2 linked regions of the Daphnia pulex genome follow. The protein of the gene in region 1 purifies or fractionates together with the protein of each later gene. This does not show direct contact. Links are inferred from orthologs where the notes say so. Each region holds a gene or a part of one and is shown on either strand. Other genes may lie near its edges. The genes, in order: squamous cell carcinoma antigen recognized by T-cells 3-like and probable RNA methyltransferase Y17G7B.18.

Region 1 (4,381 bases):
AAATAACATGCTTACTTGAGACGGATATTGGTGCAATAGGCCAAAAGGAGAATTGCAATAAAAATTTTACAGTTATGGTTGATCATCTTTACTAGAAGTTAAAGTCAATTGGCGATGTTATCTGACGGCTCGTTTAGATGAAGTTGGCACTGTGACAACGAACCAAGGAGGCCATCAAGTGAAGAAATGTGCCTCCTTAAATGTCTCTTTAAAGTAATGCGCGAGGTAAACAATTTTCCACAGATGCTACAAGTCAGCTGCTCGGAATGATGAATTCCAAGATGACTTCTTAACTCTGTTTTTGCATTAAATGTCTCTTTACAAATAGAGCACTTGAGGGCTTTTACTGCAACAGCAGATTTTGAATTATTAGATGATTCTGCCGTAAAGAAAATAGACAAATTTGTGATCACTATACAGACTGGTAATACAATTTTATTTTTGTACCTGGAATTGGCTCTAAAATAATCTTCTTTTCAGTGTGTGTAGAGCACTGGGAGATTTGCCTTTTCCTTTTAGAATTGATTTCTGAAGAAACTGTGTTTTTGGTCAAATTTTCATTTGAATCATCTGTTTTTGTGGGAAGAGATTCTTGAACATTTTCATAAATTATTTGAAGATCTTCATCTTCATTTGAGCTTGAATCAGAATCACATTCAATTTCATGCGACTGCAGCTTTTGCAGCTGTTCCTCAACCTTTCTCTTTTCTAATATTTCCACTTGGAATTGTTCTTTCCCATGTAATTTTACAAGACCTTTGACTTGAAGTTCTTTGGCATATGTGGACACTGTCACCAAGTCGACTGATGATCCTTCAGCAATCCCATTGTAAAGGTAATTAACCAAGCAGACCATAGGTTTATAACTATTGAATGGTAAAAGATAAAAATGGTTATTTTTTAATAAGTTTCAAATGGGAATGACTATTACCTGAATCCTTCAAGGAAAATGACAGGCTCAACATGGGAATCACAACCCAATAGCAACTGGCTAAACAAAGGGCTAAGCGAAGCGAGAACAGAACGATTAACCAAAATTTTTTTTCCTTCACAAATTAAAGTTACATCTGCGTGACATTGATTTTTATACATGGCCAACAAATTCCGAGTCCACAGATCGTCCAGAGATTTAAAATTCGTCTTGTTTTCCATTTCTTTGTTTAAGAGTCAACCAAGTCTAAAAATCACTGGAAATATATTTCTTCAACTCTTTAAAAAAGCTAAATAAAGTATATTTCGAATTTCGTTGAGCGATCGTCTTGGATGTGTTGTTTTCAACAGTCAATCAAATCAATTAATGTTAAGCAGAATAGCAGATGTGATTCATGTGAAGATTTAAGTCTTCTGCTTGATAGTTCATTCATCTGCCGCTAGGCTGTGCGTGCCGAATACGAACAACATCGATGTAATGTTGTGTTGTCTTTGAAATTAACCCAACAACCCCAAAACTCGATCTCGAATTATTAAAGAATTATACAGTACAAGTGCTTCTATTTATACACATACACAAAAAGAGCTTCATGATGGATGTCCAGCAAGGTTTTGCTGAGGAAGATGAGACTGAAGAAATGAGTTTTGAAGGCAATGACAACCCTAATGGGTCAGGCAGCTCTGATTCTGATGATTCAGAAAAAGAAAGGGAAGAGCATTATGTTCTCGAGAGAAGAATTGTTGAACTAAGAAAAGAAGTAAGTGTTTTCCCATGTTTGTGAATTTTTTGGTTCAATTTTTAAAAAAATTGTATGTTTTTAGCTCGCAAAATCTCCAAATGCCTACAACACACATGTTGAACTGATTAGTTCTCTACAAAAACTTGGGGAACTAGATCAGTTGAGATATGCCAGAGAATCTATGCATGCCATTTATCCTCTGACTGAAGGTAAGATTTAATAAACAATTTAGATAATTTTTTTTTTACATTCCTTATTCTCTTATTTAGAACTATGGCTTGACTGGCTAAGAGATGAAATTAAACTTGGATTAACAGATGAAGACAAAAAGAAAATTGAATTGCTGTTTCAAAGGGCAACAGAGGACTACTTAAGTATATAAAAATATAAATTTTCAACTTTTCAAAATATAAATATTATCATTTTCAGATATTGATATTTGGGTGGAATACATCCAATTTTGTCTTGCTGGAATGGATATTGGAGGTGTTGAAGCATTGAAAAAAATTAGAGCAGTTATGGAAGAAGCCATTCGACATGGAGGACTTCATGTTGTAAAGGGGGCTTTGCTGTGGGATTCTTATCGCGATTTTGAAATGGCGATATATCAAACAACTAAAGGTGGAAGTGAAACTGAGAAGACCAGTCAAGCCCAAAAAATCACGCATTTGTTCAACCGTCAACTCTCCGTTCCCTTGCTGGATATGGTAAATTTCTTAAATATCGTAGATTTGTTCTTCTTACTGAAGTCTTATTTTCAGGAGCGAACTTGGACAGAATACAATGAGTGGCTTCAGATTTTGGATCAGAAAATTGAACCACATGTCAAAGCCACTTATGACAAAGCAAAGGGACAAATGGAAAAGATAGCACCCATAGAAGACACCCTGATAATCGCTGTTGAAAACGACCACAAGGTTGCAGCTTACCGTACGTATTTGGATCTCGAGATGAATGAATTTAAAGATCCTGCTCGCATTCAAGCACTTTTCGAGCGTATTGTTGCCGAGATGCCGCTGTATGACTCATTCTGGAACGATTATTGCAAGTTCGTCGATCATCAATTCAAAGCCGCAGAAACCACTTTTGCCATTTTTAAACGAGCAATCCGCAACTGTCCGTGGAACGGACCCATCTGGTCTGAGTACATCTTGGCTGCCGAGCGCTACAAAAAAGAGGATGGATTCATTGCAGGTAGATAAATAGCGAATTATAATAACCATTCATATTGTTTTTTACGTTAATAATTCAAGGGTTTACTCAACAGGTTTAGTAGAGAAGGCTTTCAATGCGGGACTAGCAACAGCGGCCGATTTGCTGTCCGTCTGGATGAGTTTCATTGAATACCTTGTACGAAAATGCACATGGGGTGACAGTGACAATGAGAACATCGTTCAACTTCGTGAAGCTTTTACACGAGCGACCGAACATTTAGATCAAAGTAAGTTTTTCTAAGACCAATGAAATCGCCAATATAAAAACTATAACTTTTTTGTTTTGTAGCTTATGATGTCGAAGGAGACCCGGAGTGTACACTGCTACAATATTGGGCATATTTCGAAGCAAAAAAGCTGAATAATATGCCTAAAGCTCGAGACCTCTGGAGCAAGATTATAAGCCGGGGACACAGTAAATCTGCTCAGTGGTGGCTGGCTCGTGTTCAGTTTGAAAGGTTATTGATCTAATTAGTTAATTCTATTAGAGTTATATTAACACAATGCTTATTATAACAGAACACACGATAACAATAAAGAAGAAGTCCGCAAATTATTTACGAAGAGTCTAAATGGAGTCTCTTCGTCCGATTGGCCAGAGTTGATCGTTAAGCAATGGCTGCAATTTGAACGCGAAGAAGGAGACTTACAAACCATGGATATCGCTAAACAGAGGTCTGAAAAATAATTTAAAGCTTTTGAAAATTTTGATTTTAATTGTTTAAATATGCCAGGTGTGAAGCTCGGATGAAGAAGGTTAATAAAGAAAGAGAGGGGCAAACGGTTCAAGAAGTAGAAACGGCTAAAGGTAGGAAACGAGGAAAGATTGAAGATGCGAAAGAATCGAAACCCGTGCCTGCCAAAAAACCTAAAATAAGCCATGATGCCGCAGCAACTAGTACGAAAGTTGTTCCCAAAAAGAAAGTTGAACCTAAAGTAAACGCCACCGAACCTGCTAGCAAGCCCGTTGTCATTCCTAAACCGGTTACCGATCCTTCCCGTCATGCCAATACGGTCTTTTTAAGCAATCTGGCCTACGAAACATCTGAACAAGATGTACGCAACATGATGAGTTCTTCCGGCACCATAACGGACATACGTCTTGTTCTGGACTACAAACAACGTTGCAAAGGATTTTGTTTTGTCGAATTTTCTTCACAAGTAAACTTCCATAATTAAATTTCCTACGCTTGTCCGTTAAATTCATTTAAAACTATCTTAGGATGAAGCGAGAGCAGTTCTGAAGCGGGACCGTGAGCTCATGAAAGGACGACCGGTTTTCATGTCTCCAAGCGAACCGGACGCAGCATTGAAGCATCCAGCTTTCAAGTACCAGTCAACATTAGAAAAGAAAAAACTGTTTATCAAAGGTACGTATTTGCGATCTTTAGGTACGAGCTTAATTTGTTTTTATCCCAAATCTATTTGATGTTATAACAGGCTTAGCTTTCACTACTACTAAAGAAGACTTGGAAGCTCTGTTTAAAAAATTTGGAA
Region 2 (4,360 bases), on another chromosome or scaffold:
AATTAATTGACAAAATTTACAGCGATTAATTATTTTCACATATTGTACTATGTTAATTACCTATGGAAAATTTAAAGCAATAGACAGGAACAAAGCTGAAATCAAACTGGAGATGATTACAAAAATGTTCGTTGTGTCTTTGCAGGTTAGAAATGTGGATAGGACAAAATCTTCCCTTCCCTTAGGCTGCCGAGGGGGGGGGGGAGCAGATACGTAAACGTGTTTCTAATTCTGAGTTTATAGAGAACGCCTCGCCTATAACAGAGAATGACATTAAAAGAAAGAAGAAAAAAGGTAGAATAAAAACAGGGCCTTATTTGAAAATTCGAAAACAAAAGAAATATATAGGGAAAAAACTCGATGCGTATCGTTTTGAGCGTCAAAGTAACGTCGTTTGTATCTGTCAGGATACTTTCTCTATTTAGATCTATCGAGATAGGCAAGCCAGCAGCCATAGCGTTGGAGTCTTCTTCCCTCTTCGAGTTGATGTGCGCACATTTACAGTATAAGAATCTCGACTGCGGTCAAGAAAAGGAAATGGAAAACTGTGAAGAGTTTTATTAGTTTTACTACACAAATTATTGCATTTATGCCTTATAATCAGCATATACTACGTATTCTATCAGCACAAAGTGACTGCAAGAATCTGTGGCTGAATAAGGCTGTTTAATGAAACCATTTTTGGTGACAAACACATCCAACGGTTGCAGCAGCATAAATAAGTTGGCAATAACTTGTCTCGTATTGAATGCTTTTGTGTCTCGTTCGTCTCGTTTGTCCATCTCCAATTACGGAATCAAAGATCAACACTGTTTTGTTTTTGTTTTTTAAATTTTTGGATGAGCGTGATTTCTGGTTGGAAGCAATATCCAACCCGGAGGCAACGCGTTGCTTGCACTGATTGAACGACTGCAAAATGATCGTCGCTTTGAAAAAAATTTCGCTTTGAAAAAATGTTCCCAATGGTTTCAATTAATTTGATTTAATAGCTAACACTCTGAATTACTTGTTAAATATCGCAATAAACTTGATAACAAAACTAGAGATTTGGAATTTTAAAAAATAATAAATAAAATCTATCAGATAGAATAGAGACACGCGTGTCTCTATTAGCGGTACTGACAGTAGCTTATTCTAGAAATGAGTTCGTTGCCTCCGCTGGTGTTCTGGTAAACTCATAACACTTGAAGGAACAGAAAGGAAATGAGTTATTATCATCAGATGGAGTTCGAAGAGGAAAATAGTTAAGGGTGTTAAATAGCAAGAGCATTGGCATTTTTTTAGCTGCGAACCTGGGAATAAATAATATGTTTCAAACGGAAAAACTCGACTAAAATTAAGTAAAATCAGTGGAAATGAGACGGGCAAATAGATAAAATTGGTAATGTGATTCTGCATCGAACACGATATCAGATTCAGATGCACTGTGTTACATATCATTGACCTCAATTTTTTATGTTATAAGATGACCATTTTAATCATGTATGTCTCAACATTTGAGCATGTGAATTTATTCTTGTTTCGTCTACGCTCGACGGTAGCCTACTGCTTTTTCTCCATGAAGCCAATTCCATGTCACTATCATATCCTAAATATCATTTCAAGATATAGGGTCTACCAAACCGTAAGTACATAAGCAAAGATTTTGTAGGGTGAAAGCTAATTTCATTATGTGCTTCAAATTTGCAACCTTTTCCCGCTGGCGCTAGTTATAAGTTAACATATAGCCTGTGGCGCTATCAATGCTCACAAAGAATTACCGCATTATAAAGATTAACTAATTAATTATAACACTGAGAAATTTTAGGTTAAATATTGAAAGGGAGAATCAAGAGATAAATAATCAAGAGAATGATTTTAAACATCTACAGTTAACATTGTTTAGCTATTACTATAAGGGTGAAGCCAGTATGCCGAACGCCGAAATAGGGGGAAGAGAATGGGTAGATAGATGTCGTGTACGTGGTGTGATTGTGTGACGTATATTCGTAATATGTGTATAACAAACACGCAGGCAGTCGACAAGTTGTGGCATTTTACTTCATGAGCCACGCCATCTATTGATTTCTTATATTCCCTTTTAGATCCCTATCGGCCTCTCCCTACTCCGACCAGATTTTCAGATTGCTATAATTAATTTCTGTCGAGGAAGAATTATAAGATCTATGACCAACTGATAGATGCAATCAGTGACCAATTTAACTCAGCCCACGAACAAATGTGACAAACCTATTTGATGTAAGACTTGTGCGTACATTGGCAAATATGAAATTCAAATTTATTTTGATGTGAAACTTACTTGACACGGTAGCCAAAGTAGGTGGTAAGAACCATCACGGCAGAATTATTTCAATTCATAATAGGATAAAGCAAATCATGCAACAATGCACAACGGTGCTGCGGTGTTATGTACGCTCATGCTTGCGGCTTTCTACAACAATTAACAAACATGAACATAATCAAATTATCAAAAAAGATCAGCAATTCAATAAAGCAATTTTTATTTGGAATTAAGTTGTGAGATAACTTTTAGAGGAATGGAAAGATGTTACGTGTATACCTGTCCTACGAATGCGACAAGAGACGATTCTTTTATTCGTGCCGCATTAATCCTCTTGCTGAGCTGCTGCAAATTGCACCTTTATACTTAAAACTAAAAATTTCGCCATCTATACGAAAACGATGGAGTGATCATAGTATCATACACCGAAACTAGATGGCGTGGAACGAAACGTTAACAAAACGTTTTTATTGAGTACCTGAATGGCTGAATCGAATTCTGGAAAATTTAGATCTCCAATATATGATTGGATTATATATGATTACGAATCACATGATGGCAAGATTATTTACATTCTTAATAAACTTGGATAACTCGTTTTTACATTCTTAAGTCTTAACAGATGCATGCGTAATTATTAGTAATTGCATACGTAGGAGATGTCACTTTCTCCCTGCATGACAGAAACAGAAATTTAGTAAAAATTTTGAATTCGATTATAGGAAGTACACCTAGAAATGTTACAGTAACCTAACCGAGTTTATAAGATACAACAAAATATATTGAGTAGTAACAGATTCACAATTTAACACATAATTAAGTCAAATAGGAGGAAATAAAATCATTCATCATGTTCGTCGACATGGCTTGAAATTGAAGTATTTTTAAATTGCACTATAATATGGATTAAATTTTTTTTAATGTCTTACAACTTTATGAAGTTTTAACGAATAGTTTTTTACGTTATCCGTCACTTTTAGTTTTTGATGTACATAATAAATGCACGTCTAATTTTTATCTATTACTAAGCTATAGAATTTTTCAATAATATTGGATTTCCATAAGCGCATAACCTGACTGCAATTAATTCTCGATCAACCGCAAATTCAGTTTCTCTTAAACTAGGTACACATGTAATGCTCAGTGCTTTTTTTTGCCAATTGTGCAACGCTGCTATGAGAGAGGGGATGTATTTATTACTGGGGTATGGGGACTGAACGCAAAGAAAGGAGCAGAAGCATCAGAACGTCGAATAGACAAGGTTGCTCAGGATACACCTTGTCCAGAAATTGGAACACAAATCATCACTTTTGCCAACTCAATTTTAATTCTAGGTAATAACTCATCCTTTCCAATTGTATTGGAGCCAAAAAAGTAGGTTATAGTTAATTTTCTTTGTTTATAAAATACGTTTATGATGTGAGGTTTCTGGCGTGACCGCTAGATGCTGCACAGCGTGTGGATTTATTTAAATTTGAAAATTATTTAGAATTTGCATTAAAAACTTCTAAAATTGCAATGTTTTAGTGTGTCAATGTTTAAGCAGAGAGATGTGTGTATTGTAAAGCTGTTTTCTTTTTACAGATTGCTGAAGCAAATTTAATGAAACATCATGGCATCAACCCAAGTAGTCTCTCTCAGTATTGGACAAATGAAGCGGGTGCATTTTCCTGCAGAAGGGGATGACAGACCTGTAGAAGCTATTCCACATTTTGTCAGTCCCAAAAAAATGGTGAAACCAGTAACAGGCAGTCAGCGCAAAAGAAGTCTCAGTCTTTCATTTGAAAGCAAGCAACATCACTTCAAGAGAAGACGCAAGGAAGAATTTGTGAGACCAACAAAATTTCTACTTGGAGGCAATAGTCGAGACCCGTTGAACTTGGGCAGTCTAGCAGATGAAAGAATCAACAAAGCTTTGAATGAGCATACCCCAGAATCCTCTCCGTTACCAACCCCTAAACACAGGAAGGAAGAAATTGAAGTATTAATTCCATCAAATATAAGGGATCCTTTAAACCTGAGTATGCCAGATGATAATTTAGCGGAAAGAGCGTTAATATCTCCGAATGCCGTCTCTAG

The links.
Region 2: the proteins of squamous cell carcinoma antigen recognized by T-cells 3-like (region 1) and probable RNA methyltransferase Y17G7B.18 purify together in Homo sapiens (affinity purification with mass spectrometry; 6 studies listed by BioGRID and IntAct, counting the BioPlex papers as one, with this or other methods). This does not show direct contact. The link is inferred for Daphnia pulex from reciprocal best matches to the Homo sapiens genes SART3 and MEPCE.

What each region holds. Positions count from the first base shown.
Region 1 is NC_060026.1:14,703,033-14,707,413, reverse strand, and holds the start of squamous cell carcinoma antigen recognized by T-cells 3-like, read left to right. Parts: upstream 1-1,358; 5' UTR 1,359-1,520; coding exon 1,521-1,688; intron 1,689-1,752; coding exon 1,753-1,879; intron 1,880-1,939; coding exon 1,940-2,044; intron 2,045-2,099; coding exon 2,100-2,377; intron 2,378-2,431; coding exon 2,432-2,864; intron 2,865-2,937; coding exon 2,938-3,111; intron 3,112-3,173; coding exon 3,174-3,342; intron 3,343-3,403; coding exon 3,404-3,559; intron 3,560-3,618; coding exon 3,619-4,045; intron 4,046-4,106; coding exon 4,107-4,254; intron 4,255-4,324; coding exon 4,325-4,381. Other genes in the region: zinc finger and BTB domain-containing protein 18-like, read right to left, coding at 105-379, 448-866, 932-1,152. UniProt on the Homo sapiens protein: U6 snRNP-binding protein that functions as a recycling factor of the splicing machinery. Promotes the initial reassembly of U4 and U6 snRNPs following their ejection from the spliceosome during its maturation.
Region 2 is NC_060021.1:10,084,068-10,088,427, forward strand, and holds the start of probable RNA methyltransferase Y17G7B.18, read left to right. Parts: upstream 1-1,517; 5' UTR 1,518-1,624; intron 1,625-3,335; exon of another isoform or gene 3,336-3,406; 5' UTR 3,407-3,615; exon of another isoform or gene 3,616-3,655; intron 3,656-3,865; 5' UTR 3,866-3,893; coding exon 3,894-4,360. UniProt on the Homo sapiens protein: S-adenosyl-L-methionine-dependent methyltransferase that adds a methylphosphate cap at the 5'-end of 7SK snRNA (7SK RNA), leading to stabilize it.